Caenorhabditis elegans: one gene and its partners. The protein of the gene in region 4 purifies or fractionates together with the protein of the main gene of each other region. This does not show direct contact. Each region holds a gene or a part of one and is shown on either strand. Other genes may lie near its edges. The genes, in order: cey-4, car-1, cey-2 and gld-1.

What was found.
Region 1: the proteins of gld-1 (region 4) and cey-4 purify together in Caenorhabditis elegans (affinity purification with mass spectrometry, with the first as the bait; 2 studies listed by BioGRID). This does not show direct contact.
Region 2: the proteins of gld-1 (region 4) and car-1 purify together in Caenorhabditis elegans (affinity purification with mass spectrometry; 2 studies listed by BioGRID, with this or other methods). This does not show direct contact.
Region 3: the proteins of gld-1 (region 4) and cey-2 purify together in Caenorhabditis elegans (affinity purification with mass spectrometry, with the first as the bait; 2 studies listed by BioGRID). This does not show direct contact.

Annotation. Positions count from the first base shown.
Region 1 is NC_003281.10:10,865,920-10,870,493, forward strand, and holds cey-4 (CSD domain-containing protein), read right to left. Parts: upstream 2,785-4,574; 5' UTR 2,701-2,784; coding exon 2,649-2,700; intron 2,603-2,648; coding exon 1,990-2,602; intron 1,461-1,989; coding exon 1,241-1,460; 3' UTR 1,027-1,240; downstream 1-1,026. Other genes in the region: oxi-1 (Ubiquitin-protein ligase E3B), read left to right, coding at 317-475, 527-947; vps-50 (Vps54_N domain-containing protein), read left to right, coding at 3,473-3,550, 3,599-3,814, 3,862-4,295.
Region 2 is NC_003279.8:12,902,542-12,907,056, reverse strand, and holds car-1 (Protein LSM14 homolog car-1), read right to left. Parts: upstream 2,588-4,515; 5' UTR 2,582-2,587; coding exon 2,336-2,581; intron 2,286-2,335; coding exon 2,096-2,285; intron 2,044-2,095; coding exon 1,600-2,043; intron 1,553-1,599; coding exon 1,410-1,552; 3' UTR 1,017-1,409; downstream 1-1,016. Other genes in the region: coa-5 (Cytochrome c oxidase assembly factor 5), read left to right, coding at 3,608-3,898. UniProt on the Caenorhabditis elegans protein: Transcriptional regulator. Involved in modulating embryonic expression of ATP-dependent chaperone cdc-48.1. May play a role in mRNA gene silencing, and RNA granule (P-body) assembly.
Region 3 is NC_003279.8:5,617,217-5,621,490, reverse strand, and holds cey-2 (CSD domain-containing protein), read right to left. Parts: upstream 1,923-4,274; 5' UTR 1,890-1,922; coding exon 1,767-1,889; intron 1,724-1,766; coding exon 1,413-1,723; intron 1,366-1,412; coding exon 996-1,365; 3' UTR 823-995; downstream 1-822. Other genes in the region: F46F11.7 (Tenascin), read right to left, coding at 218-309, 375-445, 488-593, 642-703; xrep-4 (F-box domain-containing protein), read left to right, coding at 3,078-3,108, 3,159-3,229, 3,301-3,405, 3,454-3,533, 3,599-3,695, 3,779-4,236.
Region 4 is NC_003279.8:7,693,524-7,699,089, reverse strand, and holds gld-1 (Female germline-specific tumor suppressor gld-1), read right to left. Parts: upstream 3,410-5,566; 5' UTR 3,395-3,409; coding exon 3,206-3,394; intron 3,155-3,205; coding exon 2,953-3,154; intron 2,907-2,952; coding exon 2,769-2,906; intron 2,724-2,768; coding exon 2,599-2,723; intron 2,554-2,598; coding exon 2,437-2,553; intron 2,389-2,436; coding exon 2,245-2,388; intron 2,200-2,244; coding exon 1,987-2,199; intron 1,944-1,986; coding exon 1,680-1,943; 3' UTR 868-1,679; downstream 1-867. Other genes in the region: T23G11.10 (uncharacterized protein), read right to left, coding at 53-235, 278-493, 545-654, 699-789; T23G11.4 (Hepatocellular carcinoma-associated antigen 59), read right to left, coding at 3,922-4,565, 4,670-4,748; rlbp-1 (Rho-GAP domain-containing protein), read right to left, coding at 5,387-5,522. UniProt on the Caenorhabditis elegans protein: RNA-binding protein which recognizes the 5'-UACUCAU-3' RNA consensus sequence. Binds sequences in both the 5'coding and the 3'-UTR region of rme-2 mRNA. Binds sequences in the 3'-UTR region of cye-1 mRNA. Binds to cyb-2.1, cyb-2.2 and cyb-3 mRNA.

The DNA of each region.
Region 1 (4,574 bases), on a different chromosome or scaffold from region 4:
TTCATCACATGAATAGCCCCATTAAAAATTTCGCTCACAAAAACACAAAAATCTTTCAATTTCTATCATATTTTCACAAGTTTTTTCGGGTCTCACCGCGAGAAAATAATTTTCGCGGCAAGACCCATCAGAGAAACCCCGTGCGCCTTTAAGTTTCACGGTTCAGAAAAACATGAAAATTTTGGAATTTTGCCATCTAGTAAAACAGAAGTTGAATTTCTGGTCAATTTGCCTAAAATTGGTCAGGAAATTCAATTTTTTTTTCCGAAATTTTGAAAACGAAATTCTAATTTAAATAATTTGCCCCCATTTTCAGAATCGACTATGTGCACCGAATGGCTCATCACCGAGTATTCCGACGAACCCAGGAACAGTGCAAGGCGTTCGTCACCGGAATGCAATCGATCCTTCAGCCGACGTGGCTGTCACTGTTCGCTCCGAATGATTTGCAATGTCTGATTAGTGGAGTCAATTCGTGAGCATAATATATACCATTAATTTGAAATTTCGAGAATTAATATTCCAGAGACATCGATCTGGCGGATCTGAAGCGCAATGTGCAATATTTCGGAGGATTCCATGGAAACCATCGGCTTATTAAATGGCTTTGGGATATTCTTGAGAACAAGTTCACTTCAGAAGAGAGGAAACTGTTCCTAAAGTTTGTCACTTCTTGCTCGAGACCTCCTGTTCTTGGATTTTCGTATCTCGAGCCGCCCTTCTCCATTCGATGCGTTGAAGTTTCCGACGATCAGGATCAGGGAGACACCTTGGGAAGTGTGGTTCGTGGATTCTTGGCTTTGAGAAAGGGAACTGCAGCTACTCGACTTCCAACTGCGTCCACCTGCTTTAACTTGCTAAAGCTTCCGAATTACAATAAGAAGTCACTGCTGCTCGAGAAACTTCGTTACGCGATCCACGCTGGGACTGGATTCGAGCTTTCCTAAATTCCTAATTATTTATTACATATTTTTATTGCTTACTGGTAGTTTGAATTTGATTTCTATAAAACAATGAACAGAATCATTTGCATTGAAACTTTTACTTAATATAAACTCAAAAAGTTCTCGAAATTGAATTCCAAAGAACTGAGTGGATATAAATCGTGCAGAACAAATTTTGGAAATTTTGGGCTTTTCGAAAGGATCAGCTATACAATTCAAGAAATGGGACTGTTCTCAATACAAAAGGTGTTTAATTAGATAACAAAAGTTGATGGTAGGTGTCAACAGCTAGAAGCCTAAGCTTTAGCTGGAGCAGCGGTCTCTTCCTTCTGCTCAGTGGTGGTGGTGGGCTCTTTATTTCCCTTGCGCTGACGTTTCTTCTTCTTCTCGGCGGCTGGAGCAGCATCGGTAGTGGCAGCGGCAGCATCACCGTCTCCCTTCTCGCCGGATGGAGCATCTGGCTGGAGCTTTCCGTGGCGGCGAGTGCGACGCTTTCCGCGAGTTTCTCCGTCTCCGCTGAAAAATTGTAATTTTAGAGTTAAAATTCCAGTTTTAAATGGAACGTATAGACCAGGGGTGTGCGGCAAATTTGCCGAATTTGCCGAGCTCGGCAAATTTTGAGATTTGCCGCACACCCCTGGTATAGACCCAAAATGTGCAAATTGCATAATAAAACTTCTTTAAAATTTGAAAAAATGGGCTAACGTCCAATTTGGCCACTTTCTGTCCAAAAATGATTTTTTTTTTCGGAATTATCTACCTTTATTGCATATTTTGCTCGTTTATCTCACATTATTTCGTTGATTAAAGTAGTTTTTACACCAATAGGTAACCAAAAATGCCAAAAATCAACGAACTAATATGAGATAAACGACTAAAATATGCAATAAAAGCAGATGATACCGAAAATATCAACTTTCGGCGGCCACTTTGAGATTTTACTTAATTTCAGCCCATTTTTCATTTTTTTTTTTAAATAAATCGGTTTATTTGAGCGCATTTTGAGCCTAAAAACACCAGAACCGTTACTAAAAGCTAGACTAACCTATTCTCAATGGTGTCCGACTTCTCCTTCTCATCTTTCTCATCTCCGTCCTGGTCACGTGTCTGACGTGGAGCACCACGTCCTCGTCCACCGCGTCCTCGTGCACCACCACGTCCTCTTGTTCTCCAATGGGTGAGCAAAGTACGAGCGAATCTCGATCCACGAACATTCTCCCCATCTGGTCCAGTCACGTTGGCGGCTTCTGGTCCTTTGAGTCCTTCGACAATGTCAAAGACGACTGGCTCATCGTCATCGAGAGTTCTGAGATAGAACTTAATGGTGCTTGACTTGGTGATGGCGGTCTGATGGACGAAGAAGTCCTCATTCTCGTCGGTTGGCTTATCACGAGCAACGAATCCGTAGCGTCCACGAACGGAGAACCATTTGACGTGTCCTTTGACACCGGTCTCGATGACCTTCTTCGATGCAAGATCCTCCTCGAGCTTCTTCATCTGATCCTCATATGGTGGTCTTGGTTGGTAGAAGTGTCCTCCGCGACCACGACCACGTCCTCGTCCGCGGAATCCGCCACGACGTGCTGGCTGCTTTGCATCGTTCGCCTCGTTGGTAGTGTCGACGGCCAGGTTGTCCAATTTCTCGGTCACCTCGGCAACTGCAATTTGAGGGATTAAATATTGAAGACCACCTGTCCTACTCACCTTTGTCCTTCTTCTCCTCAATAGTTGTTCCGTTAGCTTGTTCAGTCGACATGATGTTTCACGGCGTTGGCCTTAGTTTTTGATGGTGTCAAGGGGGTGAGGAAAATCCTCTGAGCTGATTGTACTCAACTACACTCTGCAAAAAAAAAAAATTAAATATAAACATCGAATGCAAATGTGCCACACAAAGGGTGTGGTGGAAAATGACACGACAGAACGATCGATAAGTCAAATTGACATGGGGCGGAAATGTTATCATCCGATTAAAAAGTGCTAAGCGCCGTTGTTTTTTTTTCAAATTTATTGGAAATCGGAACGAACTTAATGGAAAAAATCGGGGAAATATTGCAAAAAAGCTCTTACAATTTCGAAATATATCGAGAATTTTAGGATATTTCCTCATATTATCACAATTTTTCTGTTTAATATTCAATTTAACGCCAAAAAACCGAAGAAACGACGGCAATTTTCAATTTTTCACCAAAAAATAAGAAAGAACTAATAAAAATCGACTGCCAAGAAGGGAGAAAACGTCTTATTTGAAAAATGGTGCTGTGCTCGCAATAGAGAAACGCGCGCGCATTGCAAGGAAACGCAACACCCTGGCACACTTTTTCTCGGATTTACTCTTTCTTATCCGCTTTTAGCTTCCTCTTTGGGAAAAATCGATTGGAATAATTAGATTTTCGAGTGGTTTTTCACAGGATTTACAGAAAAATCGATACTGCTACTTGAAATTTAAATTAATTTTGCTTGCTTCCGCTGGTTTTTTAAATTAAAATACTAACAAATTAACAATTTCAGAGGTGAAAGCTTGGCGAGAAATGGACCGATTTAAGGAACAACTAGCAAAAACTGTTAATCAAATAGGCGAACAATTTTCTTCGGATAGCGATGTAAAAGTGGGAATTTTTTCAAGGAAAATGTCAAATATTAAATCGACTTTTCAGGTTTTATTAGATAATATGAACGAGAAAGTTATGAGCTCTTACGATGCTCCGTCGTGCTCGGAAAGCCCTCCAATAGCTCCAGAGAGTAATTCACAAAACTCAACGCCTCGGAGAGTAAAATCAAAAATTTCCGAGGAAGATGACGTCATCAACTCGATAGACGCCGCGTATTTTATAGATAACGATGAGTTCGATGCGATTGACTATGAATTGAAGGTTTAGTGGAACAAAAAACCAAGTAAAACGAAAATTTTAACTTTTAGAAGCTCTGTGACATCGAAATGTGCTACGAGGACATCCAGCGCGAGAGGTTTCGGCTAAAATCTCAGCATACTGTGGTTTCCAAGAAAATATCCACACTAATCATGCAAAAATCTTCATCCTACACGGCACAGGTCGGTGAAATGGAGAAAATCCGAGACGAAGTCGGAAGTGTTATCAACGAAATTCTGACGATACGAAAAGCGCTCGCGCTGGCGACAAGCCAAACTCGGACGTGTCTCGGATTAATCGCTTATAAAAATAAGAAAATCGTTCTAAATCAGCTGAAAATGACGCTCACAACGATAAAAGGCTTCCACGAGACCGAACAGCACATTCGAGAAACTATTGAAGAAGGAAATTTCCCGCTTGCAATTCAAATGCTAATCGAAACTCAAATAAAAGCCGGGGGATACGCTCATTTTACATGTGTAAAGTAAGTATTAAATGGATTTTTGAATGAAAATGAGAAAAAAAAAATGCTCAAAAATCGAAAAAAGCGGCTGAAAATTCACATTTTAAGCTAAAAATCCCAAAAACTTTCGAAGACCTTTTAAAGGCGCACGTGTTTTTCAAGATGGGTCTCGCAGCGAAAAAGGTTTATGGTAATTATTTTTTAAACATTTTCTTTAAGTTTTGAATTATTCTTGTTGAAAATGATCATTTTTTTACCGTTTTAAGCCGATTTTTTGGGCAAAAATAGGTGGAAATCAAT
Region 2 (4,515 bases), 5.2 Mb from region 4:
ATCCAAATTTAAAAAAGATTCATTTGTTCGGTCTCAACTCTCGTCAAACTCCATCGATTCTCCGTCATTTCAAGCCAGGAAAATTGGAATTTCTCTGGTCAGATTCATTTAATGCAGAAACAATGAAGGAAATGTATAAATTGGATCAATGGAAAATGGCAAAATCGGTTGAAATTTCCTAACTTTTTTTCAAAAATCCGTTCAAAAAGTTTGAGCAATTTGAAAATATCAAAATCCGTGATCAATGTGCTCCTGGAATACCGTCGACGTTTGGCTATTTATGGAATTATCATCGCTATGCCAAATTGGTTACTGTTGGAAAGGCTGTTGAAATCAAAAATGTAAGTTATTCCACCTACACTGCTTGTAACTAGTTCAAATAACTTTTCAGTGCCTCATGAAGTCCACAAATTTCAAAAAATGGGAATTCTGCATGGGTATGAGTTTGGACGCTGCGAGAGTTTTCGATCCGAATGCCTCTGGATTCGAAATTTCCCGAGATGGAGGAGTTAAGGGAACTATTCGCTGTCTCTTCAAAGGGCATAGCGTCAAAATCGACTTTAGCCCCTGGAAGTTCGAGATCACCAAGGAATAATTTTATTATGTATTTTCTCTTTTAATGTTTAATTTATTTCTTTAATGTGTTCACTTCAATCAGTTTCGCTGAATAGTTTTTATAAAGTAACATTTGTTAGCTATTCTTTACGTATTTAGTCGCCAGAACAACTATCGAACTTTTTGAAATTACAGCAAACTTATACCAATATTTTTTGACACCTTACATGTCCAACTGGCTTCCAAGTTGTAGAAAGAAAACATCGAAGCAATGATACAAAACAAAAAGTTTATACGGGGAAATCACAATTTCTCAGGGCTTGTCTACCTAAGAATGAAGGGTTTGCAATATTATAGCAAATCTAAGAGAAGATCTTAAAAACAATTTCATATCTCCTAGAAGACAATCATAAAAGGCGGGGTGTGGGATGATAGGAGAGCAGGTGCAAACGATTTGACAGTTTAGTCACTGCAATTTTATTAAAATGACAAACTGAGGACAACAGAACGACATGCTTTAAAATTCACAAGCTAGAACTTAAAAAAACGGGGGAAGGGTCCAATCACTATTGTAGTGGGGGAAGAAAAAACATTGGGAATTTTTTGGATGGGAGATGTGTGTCGGTGGGTGGGTGCGCAATAATTATTACAAAATAACAGAAGGCCCGCATTGAATCGTACGAGATTTCTAAATAATTAACGGGTTTCTTATAACACGCCAATAGTTGAGAAGAGACAAGGGTAATCATTGATGGGGGGGGGGGGAGAATGGATAAACTTACATAATAAATTAACAAACGGCTAATATCGGGGTATGGGGATGTGGGGAGAAAACAATTTCAGGGAATTCGAACTTATTGTTCGGCAGCTGCGGCAGTATTGCCTTGGTTGTCACGTGGAGCATATCCACCACGACGGTATCCACCGTTGTTCTGACGATAACCTCCATTGTATCCTCCACGGTGCTGGTGTTGATGCTGGTATCCGTTGTTGTAACCTGAAAATTGAGCATAAGACGTTGTAACTTCTAAAGTGGAACTATACCTCCATATCCGCGGTTTCCACCACGTCCTCGTCCTCCGAATCCACGACGGTAGTTCAACGAACGCACTGCGTTGTGTCCGAACGTCTCCTGATTCGTTTCTCTCTCCTTCTTCCAATCTGGCCGTCCAGTCTTTCCTTCGGCTTTCTCCAGTGATTCACAGCTGATGTTGTCAAAGAATGAAGTCTTCTTGTCGTAGAAGGCAGCATCCTTCTTCTCCTCAACTTCTGGCTCGGCCTTATCCTCAATGTTGAGCTTCTCAAGGTTGTCGACGAGAACTTCTTGGAACTTCTCATTGGCCTTCTCGAAGTCAAAGTCCGATTCGAACTTCAGCTTTTCGCGGTGATTAACTCGAGGAACTCCATAATTGTTGTGCCCTCTTTGGTTGTTGTATCCGCCAGCGAATCCTCCGCGGTAGTTGTTGTATCCACGGTTAGCTTGGAAGTCTGAAAACATGATCATAAATCCAGAGTTGATTTGAAAGAAAATAAAACTGACTTTGCTGATAACCTCCACGTCCTGGACGTTGATTTTGGATGATTTGGCCTAACGGACTGTTACGGGATGGCGTTCCGGCTCTGGAAGAACCTGCAGAGGCAGCTGGAGCTCCGTCACTTGCTGGGGCTGATCTCGAGGAGACAGAGATGATGGCTGGATCGTATGGAAGCCCTCCTCCAATGTTGGCCATCTGAAAAGACATTATTTAGATCAATGAAGCTCGATTATCCGGCAACTCGCCTTCGGAGTATCACAAACGATCAAATCCTTGATGTCGCTGGCCTTGAAGATGATGTACTCGTAGACATCATCACGAGCGGCGACCGGATTAGCAGTTGGACGCTTCTCGGTTCCGAACGAGCGAACCTTGGCCAACGCGATGGTAGAGTCGTTGGTGTCGACGGTGTAGAGGATTCCCTCGTAACGGATGTCGAGCTTGGAGATCAGACTAATCTTGCTTCCGATGTACGGTGTTTGATTCGACATTATTACCTGCAAAAATGTAATATAATTTAAGTTTCACAACGTTTGAAGAAAGACGAAGAGCAATATTGTCGGGAATAGGAGAATAAATTAACAACTGAAACCGTGTAAATGTGCGCTTCTATCAATCCTAAAACAAAATCTTGCGGAATACTACGAAAAATGTCGAAGCGATCTCAATTGTGTCGAGAAACCTTAGAAATTAACCTAATTGGCCTAAAATCGATACGGAGGTGTCAATAAGTCTTAGAGGAACATCAACGATAATATACAAGGATAACACTGACAGTTTAAAGCCCTAATTTCTTATAAGAAGTGGGAAAAGCTGCAAAAGTTTAAAAGTAAAATGCGAAGCCGTCATCGTTATCGATTCTGCGCCGATGGAGCGTGATTGCATCCGTCTGCCCACTTATTTTATGAGGTACTGCGCAGCCACGGCCGTACCATTGCAGTAAAAATAATTTTGAGTATTAAGAACCGAAAACTCACTAATTGAACTTCTCAAACAGCTAAAAATCGGCAGAAGAAATAAAAGGTAAGCTCAAACTTGAAAATCACAAAAAATGGGAAGTTTCTATCAAAATTCGCAAAATTTAATGATTCTAAGCTGTAACTTTAAGTTCATCACGTCAAAAATAATTATTTTAGCAATAAAACATTGAAAATTTCCCTAGAAAATCAAAAAAAATAACGAAAAATCAACAATTTTGCGAAGAAAACAACAAAAATCCTAAAATGGCGCTGCACCCCAATCCCATTTAAAGGCGCATGTTTTGCTATAGGTTTTTGTGGGTCTCGCCACGATTCTGCAAATCTTGGCACCGTGCCAACTCCGTAAATCGACACTAATTATTTTTCAAAATTTAAATGAAATAAAATCAATTTTTGTGCGAATTTATTGAATTTTCTCGTTTTTTTGTGATAAAATTGTGAAAAAGACTGAAATTTACTTAAATTTTATTGTTTAAAACTAGTTATATCTTCTAAAATCAATTTTTATTCGATTTTTCAGGCAAACTCCCGCGAAAAATGGCCGGAATCACCGCACACTCCCAATCCCAACAATTTGAAGAAGACGAATTCAACGAGATAAAGAAGACCGGTGTATCGTGTGATCGTCTACGTCAAGCACTCAAAAAATGCATCAAAAACTCGCATTGTGTGCAAGTTCAAGCTCGATCTGCGAAGGAATGCATCGATGCACGTGGCGACGGAAGTGTACCCGACAAATGTTTCGCCGTTCTCCAAAATTTCACCGACTGCAAGCGATCACTGGTGGACATGAGATCGAGATTCCGAGGAAGGAAGGGCGATCTTTGAGCGAATAATTCGAAAATTTTCATATTTTTTGTTACTTTCTTTTTAGGATTTCAGCTTTCTCTATAATATAATACGTGTATAAATCTATTTTCCAGGAAGAATGTGTTAAAAACTTGAGAATTATCATCGTATCGCTAAGCTGGGCCTGTGGATTCGGCTTTTGGGAATTTCCCGCAAAATATTGAACTTTTCGCCTAATTGGCTGCCATATGACTCCGGAACTCTCGACTTTTGTCAAAAAATTCGAAATTTTCGAATTTTCGCCCACTTGAATCCGAAATTTCGCACATTCTTCGCCATTTTCTTGCCAGTTGTTCTAAAAACTTCCAAAAAAGGAAGCAAAGAACCCAATCAAACGTGTATATTTATTTCATCATGTATAGGAACAGTAATAATAATACGAAAGCAGTGACGGGGAGAAGAGAAGGAACGCAGAAAAAATTAAAGAAATTGCAATAAATCGTATATCTGGGGGATTTCGATCGATAATCAGGGAAACACTCGGAATTGGAACAAAAAAAAGTCGAAAAAAGTTGGAAATAAAAATGTTGCCTACCCAGTAGCAGCGGAAGAATAAATAAAATCTGGAACAAAAAAAAAGAAATCCGGGGAAAGAA
Region 3 (4,274 bases), 2.1 Mb from region 4:
CTTTTCGTTCTGCTCCCCTTTTCGTGGGGCCTCTTTTTTGCCCTTTTCCGTAAATCGACACCAGCGCTACAGTAGTCATTTGAAGCATTACTGTAGTTTTCGCTACGAGATATTTTGCGCGTCAAATATGTTGCGCAATACGCATTCTCAGAATTTCGTGTTCCTGTAATATGTACGAGAAAACTAGTTTTTAAAACTAATTTATAAAAATACCCACTATTCAAAATGCACTGCCCGTTGACGCATTTTCCATGTTTTCCACAATCGGAGACTATGCTTCGAGCTGAACCTTCAGCTACCAATACGTGTCTGAAAATTGTGTTTTATTTGCTCTGACAAGTTGTTATCATTCCTTATTCAGAAATTAACTGTACCGATTGCATTTCACTGAAGTGATTGGATAACATTTTCCTTCAGAACAAACGAATCCCTCTCGACATTCTACCTAAACTAAACGTTTTGAAAATATTCATCAAAACTTGAAAACCTCGAATGAACAGAATGTAGATGGGGATTTGTTCCTACCAAAGCATTGCTTCTCTTCACAAGTAAATCCAACTGGGCACTCATACTCACCGAAAACAGGCGGACATCTGAATAGACGAAATTGTATTTCTCACTATTGCTCATGATTCGTTCACCTTTCTGCCGCAATGTGCAAAATAAAAGAACAGAATAAAAACAGTCGTCCTATGCGAATCATTGTACGAAACTAATCAATATGCCGAATAAGAATTGGTGACCTATTTTCATCAGAGATATCTCACTGATAAGATTTGAGAAGCTGATATGATGAGTCATTGTTATGAAATAAACATTCAATTTACCGGTAAACGGTTTTATTGAGAGGTTTTCTCATTACAAGCTGAGGCAATGTGGCATTGAAGAACAAGAGGGATAGGGACTTACAATAGCATGCATAAATTGGGAATATGATAAAGTGTACTATGTATATGTACAAAGGTACAAATTTGAGAAATAAGCATTAATGGATCTTAAATCTGAGCATCGATTGGCTGGGCTCCTAGGCCGGCTTCTCCAAGTGCAGAGTCGCAACGGTCAACCTTGGAAAGTCCAGCTTCCTCTGTGATGATCTTGGAACAAGATTTGGAGTCTGGAGAAGCAACGTCAGAAGCAGATTCGGAAGATTCAGTGACAGCCGATGAATCAGCGGCATCACCAGCTCCTTTCTGTTGGGCCTTCGACTTGCGATTTCTGTTCTTGCGTTGCTTTCTTGGCTTTTTCTTCTCAGCATCCGCCGACATCTCCTGTGGCTTGGCATCGGTCGACTGGGATTCCTCTCCATCGACAGAAGCTCTGGGCTTGCGGTTCTTGCGGAAGCGAGAGAGAAGCTTGTGGCGGTATCTGTAAAATAGGATTTAAAAACTTCCATGGTCAATATAAACCCTCACCTCGATCCAATGACATTGTCTCCGTTGGGTCCTGTTACGTTAGCAGCTTCTGGGCCATTCTTTCCCTCGACGAGATCGAAGAGAACCTCTTCATCGTCCCCGAGGGTACGGAGGTAGAACTTTTCAGTGGCTGACTTGGCAATGGCTGTCTGGTGAACAAAGATGTCCTTTTCGCCATCGTTGCGAGAAATGAAGCCATAGCGACGGAGAACAGAATACCATTTCACTTTTCCTTGAAGTCCGGTGGTAATGGCTGTCTTCGACTTCTGCTCTTCTTCCCACAGACGGATGCGCTCAGCAGTCGGCAGACGCTAAATTAAGTAATTACTAAATTAATTTAAATGTGTAACATACTCTTTTACGCATCTTCTCTTCGCTGTTGCTTGGCGTTGTCTTATCTTGAACAGAGAGCTCTTCGAGCTTCTGCTCGAGAGCTTCCTCTCCGATTTCGACAGCGGCGTTTGCGGTGTCCGACATAGTCGTAAATTTGGTTGAAGCAAGTGAGGTTGACTGTAAGAGGGTAACTTTTAATAAGTCATTAAACAAAAATTGGGTAAAGATTAAAAAGAATATTTAACAGAAGCTATGTGCTCATGCTCAAAAACGTAACCAAAACTAAAGTCGAAAATCAGCAGCAAAAAAATTTAGAAATGAGAAAAACAGCTCACGGCGCGTGAACTTCAAGCTGCAAAATCGAAATGAATGTTTTGGGCCGCGCATCTGCGAAGCTAATGGGTCCCGTACTACAGTAACCCGGTAACCTGCACATCTAACTTCGCGCGGTGTTTCAAACGCAATGCATGGTTAGGAAATTCCTAAACAATTTTTGGATTCTTTTCGTCAAATTTGTATCAGATTGTTTTGCAATATGCTATTTTACTATTTTCTATCATTTTGTCATCACTGTCTTGAATTTTTAAACGATTGTTTAACTGATTGATATGGATAGTATTGTTGGTATTAAATAGTTTATAATAATCACTGAAATTCTAAAATATTTCATTATTTAACATTCCCTCGTAAAGCGTATTATGATTTTTTGAAAGTTACGGAATTGAGATAGAAAAAATGGAATTAAGTTCTAAAGTTTAGATTTTCTCAATTGTTTTCCAGTTGTTTCCTATTGTGACACTCCTTAACTTTCCAATTTAAGGGAAATGTCTCTTTTTTATACATTAAGAGATTACTTTAAGAATATAAAAACGCTTTAGGCCCCGTGTGACAATCTAAATGTGTTTAATCCTGCCTCCAATTAGTACAACGAGTGTTCATTATAAATGTTCAAACGAATTCGGAATTTCTATTTCCAATTTTGTTTTTTTAATGGTGACTTTAGTTAATGTTCTCCGTGATGTTGTTCATGCTTTCTAAAAACTAATGTACTCTGCCCTTTCCAGAAATTGACGTCATAATACTCGCACAGTACTCTCAAAAAATTGATTTTCAAATCGTCCATTCTCTCCAACTTCATTTTCTATCCTCCACGTCTTTTCTGTGCATCCTCATTTTATATTGTGTTATTTTCATGTCTCTGATCGACCTGCGCCATTGATATTCTTTCTCAAACGGCCTCTCTTTACATCTCTGGGTCTCTTGCCTCTGGGCGTGAGGTTCCCGTTTTTTCTGCCGATTTTCTTCTCTTTCCGCTGTTCCATTCTACTCAAAATGGCACTGGAAGAAATAATGGATTTCGAGGGTTAGTTAATGCTTAATAATGAAGATAAATCTGAAATTGCCAAATTATAGAAGAAGAGGCTGGATGGAAGCACTTGCCACGAGAAATACGCAGAAATATTCTCACTCGACTACCATTCCCAGTAAGTGTTGCGAAATCATTTTGCTCAAATTTCCATCAAATCAGTTAGATAAAGAAAAAATCCGTTTGCAGGATAAACAAAACATGATGTTGGTCAGCTGGGAAAACTCTCAGATATGCTCAACTCTTCCAAATAAGCTTCACGAACTCGGAATTACGGAGCTTCCCTCTACAGCTGTTAGTTTTAATTGAATTACTTTGTTTATTCAACCCAGTTATTTTCAGAAAACTATTCTGATAATGAAATGGAAAAATGAGATTGGAAGAGTTGTGAGCAGAATGGTGGAGTTTCGAGGAACCTCACTGTGAGTATTCTTTGTTCAAAACTTCAAATTAAAAGAGAAAATTCAAAGTCTTAATAAATGTTCAGACGTCAAACTGAATGCCCCGATCATACTGCAGAAGCTATGCGAGCGTTTTTACGTATTTGGAGATTCTCAAAAATTAAGAGTATTGTCATCGAAATTGTAAGTTGTGGTAGAGATAGATTGGTTTAAACCATGGCTTATCAGCTGTAGTATCAGCTAACAAAAATTCAATTAATTTTCAGCCATGTTTCGAAGGATTATCAAGCATCTGGGAAGAAGGAATGGCTGAAGTAAAAACAAATATCGCCGTCCGAAGTTTTAACATCAGAACAAACGACTATCGTTTAGTAACAAAAGCATTGACAGCTCCAAAAAACAAAGGACAAGATATATCATTGTTGGCAAATGACCACGGAGGAATGGAAACTGCAGTATTTGACATTGACAAGTTCAAGTACGCCCGCAGTGTGATCCTTTGGTCCCTGGTCAGCAACATTCAAGATCATCAACTTTATTCTTTATCTGCACACAATATTCGTTTACACAGTGAATTCATTACATCCAATTGCATTGCCAAAATGATTCAGGAATGGAAAGAGGGCAGGAGATCCCTGGAACGATTGCATATAACTTCGCCAATAATTGATTTGGATACAATTGTGAGACAAGTGCTTGGCGTCTGCTGGAAAAATATGACTGAGTACGAAGATTCTCCGATAAAGTATTAATATGATAATG
Region 4 (5,566 bases):
AAAAATAAATTATGAGAAATTTGTGCGATCGTATTTTTTCGATAATAATAGTTCAAGAGTAAATTTCATCAATAGAAGCAATCTTCACACCATCTGCAAGTTTTTGAGTTTTTCGAGCTTTTCTAAACATTAAATTGAATGCAACAATATCTGCAGGACTCCAGAATACACTATTCGCCTTATTTTTGGGAAATACTCCACCCATTTTCAATGTTTTAACCGGGCCAAATCGTTCCTAGAAAATAATTTTTAGTTGTGAAAATATTCGAACCTCCACTTTAGCAATTTCTGCATTTTTCTTTGAAGATTTTTCGAAAGTTTTTCTCTTTACTTCTTCAATTCTCTCTTTTTTATATTCATTCAACGCATTGACCACCGGTTTACTATATTCACACTTTTCAGAAAACATCATTCTTTTACATTCTTCCTCTTTTCTAATTCCTTTAAGTCCTGCAATAAAATCATCGTGCATATGCCAATTTTGAACTGTGCTCTGAAATATTATTATTTAGACGATCCTGATAAAATAACCGATAACAAATACCATTAAATGACGCCTCCGGACGTTTTTTTGTTTCTCAATGTTAACCGAATTGTTCACCAGGAGTAAAAGGAAAATTAACATAATTGCAGCTGCAGGCCATACGAAAAGTTCTGATAATTTTAACTGGCGATTTTTTTTACAGAACATCACATACTGAGTAATTCGATAACTCCATCAACTCTTGGATTATCATCAAAATCCTCTTCGGATTGGAAACAGTTTGAATCCCTGCTCACGTGAAACATTTGAAGAAATGAAAATGTTTCTAACTAATGTTTCCTTTTTAATCGTTTTAAAACATGAACTGGAAGAAAAATTGAATAAAAACTATTTTTTATTATTTTATCTCGCCCTGTATTTCAATTTCAAAATTCAAAATTTTGGTCTCAAAAACAGGGTACCGAGAAAATGGTCAATGTGAAAGACTGCTAAAAATATTAGCTCTTGGACTTGTGCTTAAAATTATAATGGACAGATTGGGAAGGGGTAGGGGTTTAGAATGGGGACTTGGGGCTGGTTTGATGGGGATGTGAGATTTGAACATATCTAACTAGCGGGAAAGAAAATTAAAATCTCAAGTTACTAAAAATTTAGAAAAGATGAAAAATTTTTGATGACTACATCAAACCGGGAAGATTCTACAGGGGTTAGCGTTAAGATAACACAGAAAAATAAAGGGGGTGCTTTGGCATTCGAGGTAGTATGAATGGGTAGGGGAATAGCTGCATCAATAAAAGTATCAATGAGTATTCTCCAAAATGGTTATCCTGATAAGATGTTATTACCGGGGCACCTGCCGTTTTTCTCTGATGTTAAAATATCTTTTCAAGATCTGCGAAGAAAGGGAAAAGATACTTAAAAATCAAAGAGCATATGGTGAAAGCAGCAGGGCGAGTTTAAATTACAGAAAGGAATTAATGGTATTAGGTATCTCATTACATAATTATTACTAACTGTATGTGTATGCTATTCCTAAAGGAGTGAGATGGTAGATACCAATTGATGACATGATAAAGATGGGGGAGATGAGAGGGGGAAAAAATGGCAACATGATGTATGGCACATGATTCTATGGTAACCTAAAATGGTGAGAACGAACAAAACAAAGGGAGTGTGAGTTATAAATGTGAACTTTTTAGAAAGAGGTGTTGTTGACTGAAGAAGCCGAGGGACTTGCTCCACTCGGGGACACATTGGTGTTTGTTTGATTGGCAAAAGAAGATGCAGAAGTGAAAAGACCAGGGAATGAGTTGACAAACGAAGTGGTTGTTGGGTACTTCGGGAACGTCAAATCACTTGCAAGTTGAAGAGAGCTGAATGAATCAAACATGCTCGGGCTCAGAAGCGAGTAATCGAAGACGTTAGATCCGAGAAGGTTGGATGCAGTGAGAGTGGGGCTCTGAAATTAAAAATATGAAACTTAAACTGAAGAACTGTTCTACCAAGATCGATCCTCCAAATGTCGTTGACGGGAGTCCTGATCCAGGAGTTGGCGACATCAAAACTGGACCTGAACTACGTAGTGGAGTTGGAGAGAGCAGAGGAACTGCAGTCATCACACGAGCTGGGTTTGGCGACTTCATTGGACGATACGTACCGTTGATGATTGCAAGTTCCATAAGTTGTTTTCTCTTCAGCTCGTCAGTTCCCTCGGGCTGAAAATAGGTTATTGTAGAGATTTTACGAAGCATATAACTCACAGCCGGAATGAGCAACTTCTTGACCTGTTCGAGTGCTGCTTGCAATTTGATGTGAACACGATTCTCAGTGTCTTCGCATTGCACAAGAACGTGCAGATCGTCTTCGAGATGCTCCCAATTGGCCTTTCCACGGTGAGCACTTTCCTTCAACAACTAAACTTTGTTTTAGATAAAATTGTAACAAGATCAAACCTTTGACTTGTCCCGCATTGATCCCTTTCCTCGGACCATAATCTTGCATCCAGTGTCCTGCTCAAGCTGCTTGGCGGTCATCCCACGTGGGCCGAGAATTCTACCGACGAAGTTATACTGAAATGTTTTAGTTGTTCGAAAACTTGAAATTCGTTAAATTACGTCTGGGTATTCGTTCTTTGGAACATAAATCTTCTCAGTGATCGAAATCATGTCTCCAGCAGGCTCAGGAAGCTCAACTCTCGGAAACTCAGTTTGGAACAAAGCCACGCGGACACGACCGATTTCTAAAATAAAATAATTACTTGTAGGAACACAGAGCGGTTATGTACCATCATCCAACAAACGTTCAACATTGCTGAACATATGAGGAAAGAGCGTAAGATGTTTCTTCTCTTTAACCAGATCAGCCAAGTACTCGACAGTTGCCTCAACCTCGATTGGTTCTGTAGCTGTTGGAGAGAACAGGCCTGAAGAAATTACAGAAAAATAAGTAGACATGAGATTGTTTCATACTCTTGTCCATCGATGATTTTCCATAACTCATTGGAGTTGCAGGAAGAGTCGGGGAAAAGATACTTCTGCTCTTTGGATTGAACATGGCTGGCGACAAAAGCGAATTAGGTGTTTGACTGTAAGCGCTCGAAATCGGGGACATGATGTGTCTGTTGTTCGTCGATAGCGTCAGACGAGCTGGTGGTGGCGCTCTAACAGAGCTCTGAAAATTTTTTATTACTGTAATTGATGAACAAAATGAAAATTCGCGTACCCATCCGTCTCGCCGAGTTGACGGCCAACGATCCGCTGGAACATTGTCGATGATGGGGAATCTCTTCCGTGGACTATTGTCTCCATCCAGAGACGTTGGCGTCATAACGGACGAACGAGATGGCGATTCAGAGCTTTGGCTTTCTAGTTGGGTCGAAACACCGTAAGTTGGAGTGGTGCACGACGGCATTCTTCGATGGTTAACCTGTAAGAAAACTTAGTAATAATATATTTTTCAATAACGTAACGACATAAGCTTAAACTCTGCGGCGATTCGCTCATCTAGCTTATCTAACGAATATTCACTAGAATTTCGGAATGAAACATTCGAGGAAAATGTGAAAGTGGTCATATTCAAATAGAAATAATTATTTCTAAAATTTTTAGATGAAACGAAATATAAAACAACCAAAAAGCATCGAAAAAATAAAACTCTAAAAAGTTTTGAGGTGAAGTCCTAAATTTCGAAACTTTTACCGTATACCTGTTTGCGATCGCTGCGAGACCCATACGTCGCGGTGCAACATGTTCCTTTAAGTTCCAGAAATGCGCGCACGGGTGGCGAAACGGCAGGAATTGGCCACGCCTATTAAGCCGTGCGCTGATTTGCATGAGGCTTTTCAGAATTTAATTGAATACTTTCAATTCAGAGTTTTATAAAATGAATCGAATTTATTTAAACAGGAAAATAAATAAAAAACACTTGTGTATCTCAATTTATCGACGCTGGTTGTTGAAACGTCTTCGATATTTTGGTTTTGATTCTTCACATTCTTCAATTGGTGGTGGAAGACCTGCAGCTTCAGCAGCAGATATTTGAAGAAGGAATCGTTTTTTCTTTTCAGTCTCCAAGATATTGGTGATACGAGTGCTAATTCCCAGGTCCACTTCTGGGATTCCTGCGAGCATATGCTCTGAAAGCAATTCTGTCTCCTTTTTGCTTTGATTTCCCTTCACTTTTCCAGCAGCTTGTTTCAAAAGCTCTACATCACGATCTTCTGCATTCAGCGATGAAAATTTAGCTGCAGCTGATGAAGAAGGTTGTTTCTGTTTTTCAATTTTAGAAGTATCAGCTGTATATTCTTGAAGTCCGTCATCAATATATTTCCTTAATTCTTCATGTTCATCTCTCAGCATTGTTTCCTTCTCGAATTGTTCTCGGAGTCCTTGTTCAATGCTTGCAGCTTCCATTGCTGCCTTCTTTTTACTTGTCATCACCATTCCGCCACCAGCCATTTGAATTCCATCCTCGAGAGCTGCAGCTTTTGAAATTCCAACTGCGCATTCTAATTCTGTGAGACCATTTTTCCTTTCTCGTGATCGTTGAAGATCTCGAATATCGGAAACTCTTGACGACTCTTCTGGAAAAAAAAATTTAGAACATTAAAAATTTTAATGCATGTTATGCTCTTAAGTTATCATTTGCTTTAAAAACAATTATTTTATCAGATTAAAAATTAAATACCATCAGCAGCAACGTCGTCGTCTTCTAAAATTTTCCTTTTTTGAATTTTTGATTTTGGTTTTCTGAAGATATCGGCCATTGTGTTCGTTGATGCTTAAAGTTTAAAAATTAAATAGCATTCAAATTTTAGAAAAAAGTTTTCAAAGTGTAAATGTAACATTTTTCTGAATCAGAACAGTTTTTCAAATAATCAAACTGTGTGAGATTGTTGGATGCAATAAAATTTATACATATCTGGTCACATCGGTACAGAAAAACTGGGATTACTGAAAAAGAAGTTGTGAAAAAGTTTTGATTTTGTGAAAAACAAGACCCAAATGATAAAAAATTATCAAAAAAAGTGAAAACAAATGACATGAAAAGTGAAGATGGTAAAGAGAAATTATGCCCGGATTTTTTGTGATTAAAGTTAACAAAAACGAATGATAAAGCTAATATAAATGTCAAAAAGAAGGGGAGTGTGAGTTAGGGGTAGATATGGAATATGGAAAATATGCACATTTATTGACTTGAGGAAGGAAAAGACTAAGAATTATTGATTGATTCCACTTAATTCTGCAAATGTGCCCTATTGATATGCAAAAATAATTTTGAAAGAAATACAGTACTTTGTGAAAATATATTATAAAAAAGAAGCACATTCGAATTCCCCGTTACCGAATGCTGTGATATTGATAAAGTATCAAAACAGAACAATTCTACAAAAGTACATTCGATCTAGAGTGAATCATATTTCATAACTTCTTTGCTCAGTGACTCCATTTCCAGACGAGCTCGAAGATCAGCACAAGTAGATCGAAGACGTGTAATCTCTTCTAACAGGGCACTTCGTGCAGCTTCTTCCAATTTGCACCTGAAACTAATTTTTATATGTAAATCTTATAAGGAACTCGCTAA